Linked DNA regions of Arabidopsis thaliana. The protein of the gene in region 2 interacts with the protein of the main gene of each other region in a pairwise test. Each region holds a gene or a part of one and is shown on either strand. Other genes may lie near its edges.

Region 1 (4,868 bases), on a different chromosome or scaffold from region 2:
ACAAATTTTTGATATTTCTATATCATTAATTTTTTTCCTTATCACACTACTTGGAGTGAAAATGACAGATAACCTCCTAAGATGATTCAAGTTTGGCTGGATTGAAAGCTAAATGGAAGTACTTTCTACATCATGCTAATAAATTTTGTTCCCATTGGTTCAAATAAAAATTAAAGAAATAAATATATATATATATATATATATATATATATATATATATTTCTAATATCCAAAGTCTCATTCAATCGCATTCGATAAATTTTATACAAAAGACAATGCAAGGCTAATTAAGGGTGTGGAATTGAATATTTTAAGAATCCCTATCATCAACTTACCAAAAAAAAAGAATCCCTATCATCAACCATCACTATTACAAATATATAATTATATTGAACTAAAAAACTTCAAGAAGATTCATATGAAGATATTAAGATTTAAAAAACCGGAAAAAGATAGATGAAGATGAACCACACACAATAATTTTACTCCAAATATAAACAAAAATATATTAATTATGCAATATAATATATATATATACACATATATATTTATAATATTATATTATTTATATCGTTTAGATCGATAAATCCATATCATCAATTCTACTATGGAAGATAGTGTGATTTGCTCGAGCCGAACTCCTATGAAATGAAACTATATATAATAAATATATATATTAGTAACATTTGAGTTCACAGTATTGAATTTTCTTTCTTGTTGGACGGAAATCCAGATACATATATTGGCTTCACCATACCCTATTTAACATACTATAGTATTCTTGGTTATTTCCAAAAAGTGAAGATATTCTTGGTTACAGTTAATTGAACTAGTGTTGACAAATCATATGCTATTGACATTTGACCACGAATTAGCAACCGGTGGGCGCGTATTGGATAAACTAGCCCCTCCTTTTGGAAGTTTGACTCCTTGACCGTACACAACTTTTGTAACTGTATTTTATCCTAAGCAACACTTAATCATTTACTTGACTTTCTCATGAACCCACACGTGTAAAATAGCATACTCTATTTATTCCATAAAGAATTGTTGTAGATTTTTCACACATTACTTTTTTTTTAATTAATTCTATCATATATTATAGAAAAAGTTTCACTCAAATTTATGTATTTTTAGCTATCTATTAAAGAAATGAAACAACATTATAATATCCCTTACGTTTTATTGAAAAATATAAATCAATAAAAGCAAAAATAATTATTTAAAAATTATAGATTTAGAAAACAAGGAAATTTTTATATATATAGAAGTTATGTATGATCTATTTTTTTTTTTTTAGTAATTAAGTGCTGATTTGGGCTTTTACTATCCTACTAAACCACTTGATAAATGTAGCCGTCGAGTAGTTCACTAACCTGATTTTCTAATGGGTTTAAGGTATAATACCATTTCGACTAGCCAAATGAGAGATTTAGTAAACTTCGCGGTTGAGGAGAATCAATCCCTTACTCATACCTAGATGCTGACTCCTCCACATGTAGAAACCACTAAACTATTTCAGGTGATTTACTAAGAAATTTGGAACATGTCCTTCATAACTTGTAATTTGGAATAATTTGAGGGTATTCACTTACATTATGAACACACTTTTTCTCTGACATATCTTCTCTAACAGACAAATAATGGCAAATGGCATGAGCATCTAATATATAACTACATAATTCTCTACGTAAATATAACTCCAACTTGTATTATTATGTAACCGAAGATTACGTTAATAATAAAAAATTTAAATTGTTAATCAGTTTCGTGACACCCACTAAGATTGTACATTATTTTCAACGAGCCAAATAATTGAAACTTGAAAACTAAAACTTCTACTCTTTTCAACGTACACGATAATAAATGAACAAATGCAACCAATTTAGTAAAACACATTCACACAACCCCTGAGTTCCTCTCAATTTCATTTAACAATCCATAGCTTCCGTAGTCATCTTGATTATGTTTTAGGCCTCACTTCAATACCATCAATCAAAATGCCACCTTTTAGTTGATATCCTTTCACCTCTGTAAGAGTCATATTGACTTCATCATCTTCTCCTTCTCGTGTCTCAAACTCTCCTAACTCAATCTCCATCCATCCGTCATCTCTACATTTCGGCTCTCTCCTTTTCCCGTCCCCGCCAACCGCTTCCACAGTCATCGCCATTCGCTCTTCTCGGTTCCCGTAAAATAGCCGCTTCATTTGTTGTTTTTTCTCATCCAAGCAACATAGATAAGTTGCACTCTTACTAATTTGACCGTTTTTAGATTTAATCGAAGTCTCTGCCGGAACTAGGTCAAGTCCGTAGGCGCCTTTTGTTACTTTCACTATGAGATATGCTCCGTATCTTGTGTTTGCTGATAAAACTCTGGTTTGGATTTTACCCTCGATTTCTAAACGATCGGTTATTATAAGTTCAGCTGACTCCGAGAATCTGAAATTTTTAGAAATATATATATATATATATATATATATATATATATATATATCTATTGTTAATCATGGTAATAATTAAAAATTGTAAACATTTTCAGTAAATGTACACAAAGCATATTTAGATGTTTTAAGAAAAGAAAGAAAAACAACTGACCTAGAATCTGAGACATTGCTCCAAGACCAGTAAGATGCATGGTCACTATGTGTTATGGAAATATCTCTTGCTGATAAAACGTAGGAAATTTTTCCGGAAAATTTATTGATCTTGAACAGCTGAAATTGCATCATACACGGAAGATATTATTAGTTCAAGTAAATAAGAAAGATATCCATTTTTTTGTTCAAATTTAACTCATAGAAATCGAACCTTTCGAGCATTATCGATGAGAAGAGAGTCACATAAACATCGATAAATTTCTTTTTTGGAAGAAATATTCCAATGATGATCAGTAGATTGAGAGATGAGGCTTTTGTAATCCGATGGTAGAAACTTTTCCCATACGAAATCAGAGTCTCCGGCTAACCGGAAAACCGAAGAGACCTCTGACGACGAGAATGCATCCGCCGGAGATGTGAAGGCAAGGATGTTGGCTATGCATGCTTCTGGTAACATCATCATCTTCTTCTTCTTTTGCCGAGTAAAAACTTAATATATCTTTAATTGTTAGTATTATGAAACAGAAAGGTACTGAGTTCTTAGAATTTGAAGAATTTCGTTTTGTGAGTAAATATGATGCTTTGATTTTTTGTAGCTATGATAGATGAAGTATGCTTGGAGATAGAGATGGTGAGAATATATAGTGATGCTTGGGCATATTTCTGTTGACCATTTTAGACCAATGGTCAAATATTATGGATTTATATATTATTTATAGCTAGCTTCGAAGTAAAAGTGTTTGGTCGTTGGCCAAAAGTAAAAGATTGGCCTTCCAAAAGAGAAAGTTAACGCGGAAGAGCAAATAGTGTTGTCCTTCACTCATATTTCAAAAAGTCTCTAAACGATTTATTAAACGAAAAATTAACAAGATTATCAACGTACATATTGTTTTTTGCTAAAATATTTGTAAGTTGATAATTTGGTAAATTTTTCGTTTAATTAAATGTTTAAAGATTCTTTGAAAATAAGAACACGTTTATAGATTATTATTTTTACATACAGAAAACGTATAGAGACTTATGAGTAGTGTGACTAATTTTTGTTTTTTCGGTTTAAAAGTCTGTCTTTGAAAGCAATATCTTTTTTTCGGTTCAGTATTTCGAATCTCCGTTTAATTTTTAATCAGTTCAAAAGCAAACAAATTGTTTTAAATTAATGCTTAAGCCTTTGAGGACGATGTACCGTTAGATATACGACGAATATTGATTCTCATCCACTAGGAGTCTAGGACCACTATGATTTAATTTGTATATTTTGTGTAGTAATTTTAAAGACTTGAATGGATGGTATGAGGATGGAGTGGTGATACTTTAATCAGTAAAAAAGATCACCACATTAGATATATAACTTTGAGAGTAAAGCTTTCAAAATTGCTTAGGCGCTGGTATTTGCTGCAATTTTCTTTATAAATGTGCAATGAAGAAACTATAAGAGCAAGGAAAACTCTGAACAAGCGAAACAACAACAAGTACATTGAGTCCTATTGGCCAAGAGGCAAAAAGGTTGGTATTATTTAGCTAAAAAGTCATTTAGTGGCCAAGAGGCAAAAGGGTTGGTGACTTGTGTTATTTATTTTTGAATGCCTAAATTTGGGTCAAATTTTGGATGTTGATTAGGTTCGACACCAAACATCGAGTCCTTTGACATTGAAAGATCCTGTTTCTTTCTTTAAGAATTATTTATTGACTAGAAGTCGCTAATCATTAACATTGTTACAATATTAATTGACTTTACCTTTAAAACCACTAGTTGACTTTTCCAACATCTCTACTATAGCCGCCAAAACTCATGGACCATAGTAAACTAATATTAGGAGTTCATTATTTAGTTCTGAATCTAGTGGTAAGAAATCATTCGGTAGTTTCGATTGTTATAACATTTGTACAAAAAATATATGGTACAATAATGAATTAAATATACAACAAATATATACGAAACAATGTCTTCTTGACTTAAGAGAAAAGAGTAGAAGATTTCTCTATATTCAAGTATGTATTTGCAATTTTATAAATAAAAAAAAACGGAACTACTTGAGCTTATTTACCGTGGAAAGCCAACCGGTTTAACCGATTTACCAAACCGAACTCCTTCAGGTTAGCCAATTTCAAACAAATTCGTTTCAGAAAATTGCTCATATGAAAAAGCAGACCAAAACATATCCACCATCCTAAGATTCATCTACAAGTGAAAGACAAGGTAATAAAGGAACAAAATATGAAAATGTGGGTGGGTTATGTTACTTGGATAGCAACTGATAATTAGCCTCAC
Region 2 (6,554 bases):
ATGCACTTGAATAAGCCATGCAAATTGAAATGTGTCAACTCCATTTATTTTTTACAGAGTGAAGCCAAAATTCATTTTCGGATGAAGTCATAAATAGCAATTTAAGTGAAGTGTAAATTGTACATAGTCGACTCTATATACCTGGTTCTTATCTCATTCAATTTATCCTCAACAACTTTAATAGAAAAATATCAAATAAATTCCCTATAAATAGCTTCACATAATGCAAGTGAGAAACCACAAAAAGTAAGAAATATAAGAAATAACAAAATGGCTCGAGTCTCTTCTCTTCTTTCTTTCTGCTTAACACTTTTGATCCTTTTCCATGGCTACGCGGCTCAACAGGGTCAGCAGGGTCAGCAGTTTCCGAACGAGTGCCAGCTCGACCAGCTCAATGCGCTCGAGCCGTCACACGTACTGAAGAGCGAGGCTGGTCGCATCGAGGTGTGGGACCACCACGCTCCTCAGCTCCGTTGCTCAGGTGTCTCCTTTGCACGTTACATCATCGAGTCTAAGGGTCTCTACTTGCCCTCTTTCTTTAACACCGCGAAGCTCTCTTTCGTGGCTAAGGGTACGTACGACTCTTTCTATATCGAAATTCGAATTCATGACTTTATGGTTCATGCTCTTTAGGATTAGTCCATAATCTTTCAACTTTAATTAAACCTATATAATTTATGTGTTACATTCTTAGGACGAGGTCTTATGGGAAAAGTGATCCCTGGATGCGCCGAAACATTCCAAGACTCATCAGAGTTCCAACCACGCTTCGAAGGTCAAGGTCAAAGCCAGAGGTTCCGTGACATGCACCAGAAAGTGGAGCACATTAGGAGCGGTGATACCATTGCCACAACACCCGGTGTAGCACAGTGGTTCTACAACGACGGACAGGAACCACTTGTCATCGTCAGCGTCTTCGATCTAGCCAGTCACCAGAACCAGCTTGACCGCAACCCAAGGGTATATATATATATATATATATATATATATATATATATATAACAAAACCTCATTACAAAAGAATCATTATATTAATTACAAATTAACAAAAATAATATGGTTTATTCTTTTTGGTATTTTATGAATGAAGCCATTTTACTTAGCCGGAAACAACCCACAAGGTCAAGTATGGCTACAAGGACGAGAGCAACAGCCACAGAAGAACATTTTCAATGGATTTGGACCCGAGGTTATTGCTCAAGCTTTGAAGATCGATCTTCAGACAGCACAGCAACTTCAGAACCAAGATGACAACCGTGGAAACATTGTCCGAGTCCAAGGACCGTTCGGTGTCATTAGGCCGCCTTTGAGGGGCCAGAGACCTCAGGAGGAGGAAGAAGAAGAAGGACGACATGGACGACACGGTAATGGCTTAGAGGAGACCATCTGCAGCGCCAGGTGCACCGATAACCTCGATGACCCGTCTCGTGCTGACGTGTACAAGCCACAGCTCGGTTACATCAGCACTCTCAACAGTTACGATCTCCCCATCCTTCGCTTCATCCGTCTCTCAGCCCTCCGTGGATCTATCCGTCAAGTAAGTAAACATAAATATTATGTTACTATAACCTAGTAAAATATGCATGCCTGATGCATGTTAATATGTCCATTTCTATATTTAAACATGACTCTTGAAACGTGTGTGGGTGTAGAACGCAATGGTGCTTCCACAGTGGAACGCAAACGCGAACGCTATTCTTTACGTGACAGACGGGGAAGCCCAAATCCAGATCGTAAACGACAATGGTAACAGAGTGTTTGACGGACAAGTCTCTCAAGGACAGCTCATAGCCGTACCACAAGGTTTCTCGGTGGTGAAACGCGCAACAAGCAACCGATTCCAGTGGGTTGAGTTCAAAACAAACGCTAACGCGCAAATCAACACTCTGGCGGGACGAACCTCAGTCTTGAGAGGTTTACCACTTGAAGTCATAACCAATGGGTTCCAAATCTCACCCGAAGAAGCAAGGAGGGTCAAGTTCAACACGCTCGAGACCACTTTGACTCACAGCAGTGGCCCAGCTAGCTACGGAAGGCCAAGGGTGGCTGCAGCTTAAGAGCTTAAAACTGCAGCTTAACAATGAACCTCGAGTACTGTAAAAGGAAGTTAAACAGTACGTAGTAATAATAATAATGTACGAAAATGTGACTAGTTTTGTTGAGGTTTACCTGTAAAATGCAACTCCTTTTCTGAATAAAATCTTTTCAATTTTCGATCAAGTTAATACAAATCTAGGTCTAAATTAGGTTCTTAATCATAGAGACTAGTTCTGATTTTTATGATTTAATACATTTGAATCATCATATTATTTTATATAATAATCCAATATTAACATTAGACAAGTCGCCAAAATATTGTCATGCTTAACAAATTTATATTACCTCATTTTCTTTATCTATTTATAATACATCAAATGCTTTAATTTTAATTTCAAATATCTAATTTAATCCGTGCATAATTTTTTCAATAAAATAACAGTGTTTTTATCTAATTAATAAATAAATAATTTGTGGGACCTTGTAAACATATTTACCATATATTATTATTTAAATTAATAATTAGATTTATTAATGAAAACTGACGTAACGCCGTCGTTTTAATTCTTTGTCGGTGAGCAACATAGAGTGACGTGGCAGCTATCTGCTGGTTAAACGTATTAGCGGAAGACTAAAGTATGTAAATCTAATGGACAGAAAAGTACATAACGTGGCCGAAATCTAATGGCTAATAAGGTCTTTGTTTAAAACGGAACGTATTTAAAGGCCAACAGATTAAGCAGAGGAGTTATACTTTACTACTTACTAATCTCTCCCTCTCTCTATCTGACTCTTTGATCGGAAAAAATGGCGGAGAAAAATGCGAGCGCGGTGGACGGTGCAATTAGGGTTAGTGGAATGCAGTTTTCTTACGATGTTCAAGATCCTATTTTCTTCGATTTTAATCTCGATCTTCCCGCTGGATCTCGTTGCCTCTTGGTTGGTGCCAATGGATCTGGTAAAAATTATTCGAATCATTTCGATTTTGTGTGTGTTTCTGTTTCTGTGAATCTGAAGTAGATCGATTTGGGACCTTGACGAATATAGAATGTATTATGTGATTTCGTGTGATTCTGTTTTGGTAGTGTTGGAATTCGGTTTAATTCGTCGAATTCGACTATATGTATAGAGTTTGAGTAAGTAAGATCGATTTTTCGACTATATGTATCATGTTAATACTCGAATTTGATTGATTCTGCTGAGAAGGTGATTGTCGTTGCGCGTTTCATTGACAGGGAAAACTACGTTATTGAAGATTCTTGCTGGAAAACATATGGTTGGAGGAAAGAATGTTGTACAAGTGCTTGATCGCTCAGCATTTCATGATACAGAGCTTGTTTGTAGTGGTGATTTGTCTTACCTAGGAGGATCATGGAGTAAAACTGCTGGTTCTGCTGTGAGTACTGAGATCTCAAAGTTAATACACTGCAAGAGTTTTGATGTGAGAACGTTTTGTTTCTAATTCTTTAAAATTCTTTAGGGTGATATTCCACTCCAAGGAGACTTCTCAGCAGAACATATGATATTTGGAGGTGAGATTCTCTGATCCTAGTATGAGTTTTTAGTGAATTGTTTCGTTGTGCTTATACTCTGAATATGTTTTGTGTTTAGTTGAAGGGATTGATCCTTTCAGAAGAGAGAAGTTGATTGATCTTCTTGATATCAATCTTCAATGGCGTATGCATAAGGTTTCTGATGGGCAGAGACGTCGAGTGCAAATATGTATGGGTCTATTACATCCGTTCAAGGTAGTATAAACAACAATCAACTCTTCATTGTGGTCTCTGTTTTTTCTTTGATCATATCTGATACTTAAATTGTAATGATCACAGGTATTACTACTGGATGAAGTTACTGTTGACCTCGACGTTGTTGCTAGGATGGATTTGTTGGAGTTCTTTAAAGAAGAATGTGAACAGGTAAGCCATTCACTAACCCCCCCTCATCTTATGTTTAGAAATATCAAATGCTGATTTTCATGTTTTATATTTGAGTAGAGAGGAGCTACAATTGTATATGCAACTCATATTTTCGACGGGCTCGAGACATGGGCTAGTCATTTGGCTTACATTAATGGAGGAGAGCTGAAACTCTCGGCCAAGTTAGATGAGATCAAGGATCTCAAAACCTCACCAAATCTGCTATCTGTTGTTGAAGCTTGGCTCCGGTCTGAAACCAAAGTTGAGAAAAAGACGAAGAAGAAACCTGTTGTTACCTCTCCATTTATGTCGTCTAGACAAATGGCATATTACCGATGAATCTTAACTTGTTTATGAGATCAGTAAGAATAAGAGCACTGCTTCTACAGATGCCTTTGTTTTCTATGGTACTTCATTGTTTAGAATCCGATAACTTTTATCACACATGAAAGAATTTCTGTAAAACCACGTTTTTAATTAAATTACTATTTTGCCAATATTTAAGAGCTTATATTCAAAATAGGCATTTTAAATAAAGTTATTTCAAAATAGGTATTTTAGACAGTTGAATGTAACAGTATCGATTTATTGCTTCAATTGGGACAATTTTGTCCTTGTCTTCTTTTCTCTTCTTCTTCATCGAACATAGTTGCAGAATCTGATCAAATCGATTTCTTCTTAATTTTTCAAGCAAACTTAATTTTTTTTTTTAATTACACAATATTAAACCTTAAGATAGTATATAGGGAACCCAATCAAAAAATTTTATAGATTTTATGGAATTTCAGTTCTGATTTTGTGTATATATGCATGTATATACATGTGTATTTGTGTAATTATGCCACTGAACAACAACCCATAAATTATAATTGAATTCTAAATCAACGCAAAGGCATCTCGATTCCTCTTTAAACTTCACTTAATTGGCTTTTTGTTTGAGAAATCATAAAATTTGGAATCAGACATCGCCATGGAATATCAAAATTGTTTTTGATACCGACATTTCTCTATTCATCATCTTCATCGGCCAGATATTCCATTTTGATCAGTTTCTGAATTCCAATTTCAACGCTGCATTAACTTAATAAACTATTATAACCAAACGTTGAGGATTCAACGATTGAAACCGTTCACATGTCTCGTCCTTTGCGAGTGAGTAAATAGAACGTGTGGAGAAGATGACACTAGTGAATGAGGGAGAAAGATGACTTTTCACGTAGTGATAGTACCTGTTTTTGAATGCTGGGTCAAAAGTGCCTAAAAGCAAATATATTTATAAAACAAATGCCTTATTTGAAATTAACTCAATATTTAACTGTTTATGTCCAAATTTTGGTTTGGAGCGGATCCTTCTTAACACTCGCATGGCAAAATATCCGATCGAATCGAACCCAACCTAAACCCGAAGTTAAACCGAAATACCTACTCATAGTAGAGAAATCTAAATAAATACTAAATCTTAACGTTTTACTTTTATTTTTAATAAACTATATAAAAATAGAAAAGCATGTACATGTTTTGCCTTTTGCGTTTATAGTTTTTCTTTTTCAACACAAAAATTGCTGTAACACAATAAAAAATATTAAAATACTAGTGTAAAAACAATTTTTGCAAAATTTAACAACTGTTAGAGCATGTCACGCTTAACCTCTAAATATCAAAAACCAAAAAACCACCATATTAACTTTTGTTCCCCTCTTCACACACCTTTTTTTGTTTGTTTCCTACACAAAACCTTAATCTGGATATTTTTGTTAATTTATCCGACTGTAAAAATAATTAAAACCTAACTTATCAATAAATAAAAAAAAATCTTTTCTAAAGGAAACCCAAAACAAAAAAAACACAAAGGCACGACAAAAAAATGTCACAAATCTCCATTTCTTCTCGTCTCTCTTCGTATTAACCAATTTACCCAATATTTCGTGCCCAATTCTCGGGTCAAATCCATCTAAAAGTTTGTGCTTTTCGTATTGGGATTAGTTCGATTTCTAAATCTGATTTAGGGTTTTAATCAATTTGGCAATCGGGTCTCTTGCGATGAAGTTTTCGGAGATTTATTGATTTCATGGTGGGTTTTTGTTTTCGAAGGTCGTTGATGAAGAATTGACTTCTGGAATCTCAATCTCTGAAGGGTTTTTCGATGTTAAATCCGTGAATCTGAGTTTTAAATGCTGAATTGGAAAACAGATCCAGGGGCTAATTAACGAAAAAAGGAGGTTTCTTTTTGATATCGATTTTTGGGAATTTTGAGGTTTGAGAGAGATCGGAGAAGATGGATCTCGTGATCGGTGGGAAATTTAAGCTTGGGAAGAAAATTGGTAGTGGATCATTTGGAGAGCTTTATCTAGGTAACAAAGTAGACGATTTTTTTTTTTTTTTTTTTTTGTAAATTTTGTAGATTTCTTCAATTTTACATGTTGTTAATGTTGAGGGATTTTTGCAGGTGTAAATGTCCAAACAGGAGAAGAAGTTGCTGTCAAGCTGGTAAGAATTTACCACATTTATCAACAACATTAATCTCTCTATGCCAAACAAAGAAATGTTCTTTTTGTTCAGCTGCAACTTTCATGTGATGTTGTTTGTATAATTCTTGTC

Evidence for each region.
Region 1: the proteins of ABCI21 (region 2) and PP2-B14 interact in a two-hybrid assay, tested with the Arabidopsis thaliana proteins (one large-scale study listed by BioGRID).

What each region holds. Positions count from the first base shown.
Region 1 is NC_003070.9:21,059,783-21,064,650, forward strand, and holds PP2-B14 (phloem protein 2-B14), read right to left. Parts: upstream 3,266-4,868; 5' UTR 3,063-3,265; coding exon 2,811-3,062; intron 2,717-2,810; coding exon 2,598-2,716; intron 2,442-2,597; coding exon 1,964-2,441; 3' UTR 1,740-1,963; downstream 1-1,739. Other genes in the region: MDO1 (telomere-capping, CST complex subunit), read right to left, coding at 4,865-4,868. UniProt on the Arabidopsis thaliana protein: Component of SCF(VBF) E3 ubiquitin ligase complexes, which mediate the ubiquitination and subsequent proteasomal degradation of target proteins such as VIP1 and Agrobacterium virE2, after their implication in T-DNA translocation to the host nucleus (can functionally replace Agrobacterium VirF).
Region 2 is NC_003076.8:17,751,963-17,758,516, reverse strand, and holds ABCI21 (P-loop containing nucleoside triphosphate hydrolases superfamily protein), read left to right. Parts: upstream 1-2,748; 5' UTR 2,749-2,844; coding exon 2,845-2,995; exon of another isoform or gene 2,996-3,173; intron 3,174-3,272; coding exon 3,273-3,433; intron 3,434-3,517; coding exon 3,518-3,569; intron 3,570-3,648; coding exon 3,649-3,785; intron 3,786-3,869; coding exon 3,870-3,956; intron 3,957-4,034; coding exon 4,035-4,295; 3' UTR 4,296-4,558; downstream 4,559-6,554. Other genes in the region: CRA1 (RmlC-like cupins superfamily protein), read left to right, coding at 271-571, 695-960, 1,091-1,537, 1,653-2,057; ckl7 (casein kinase I-like 7), read left to right, coding at 6,232-6,307, 6,403-6,443.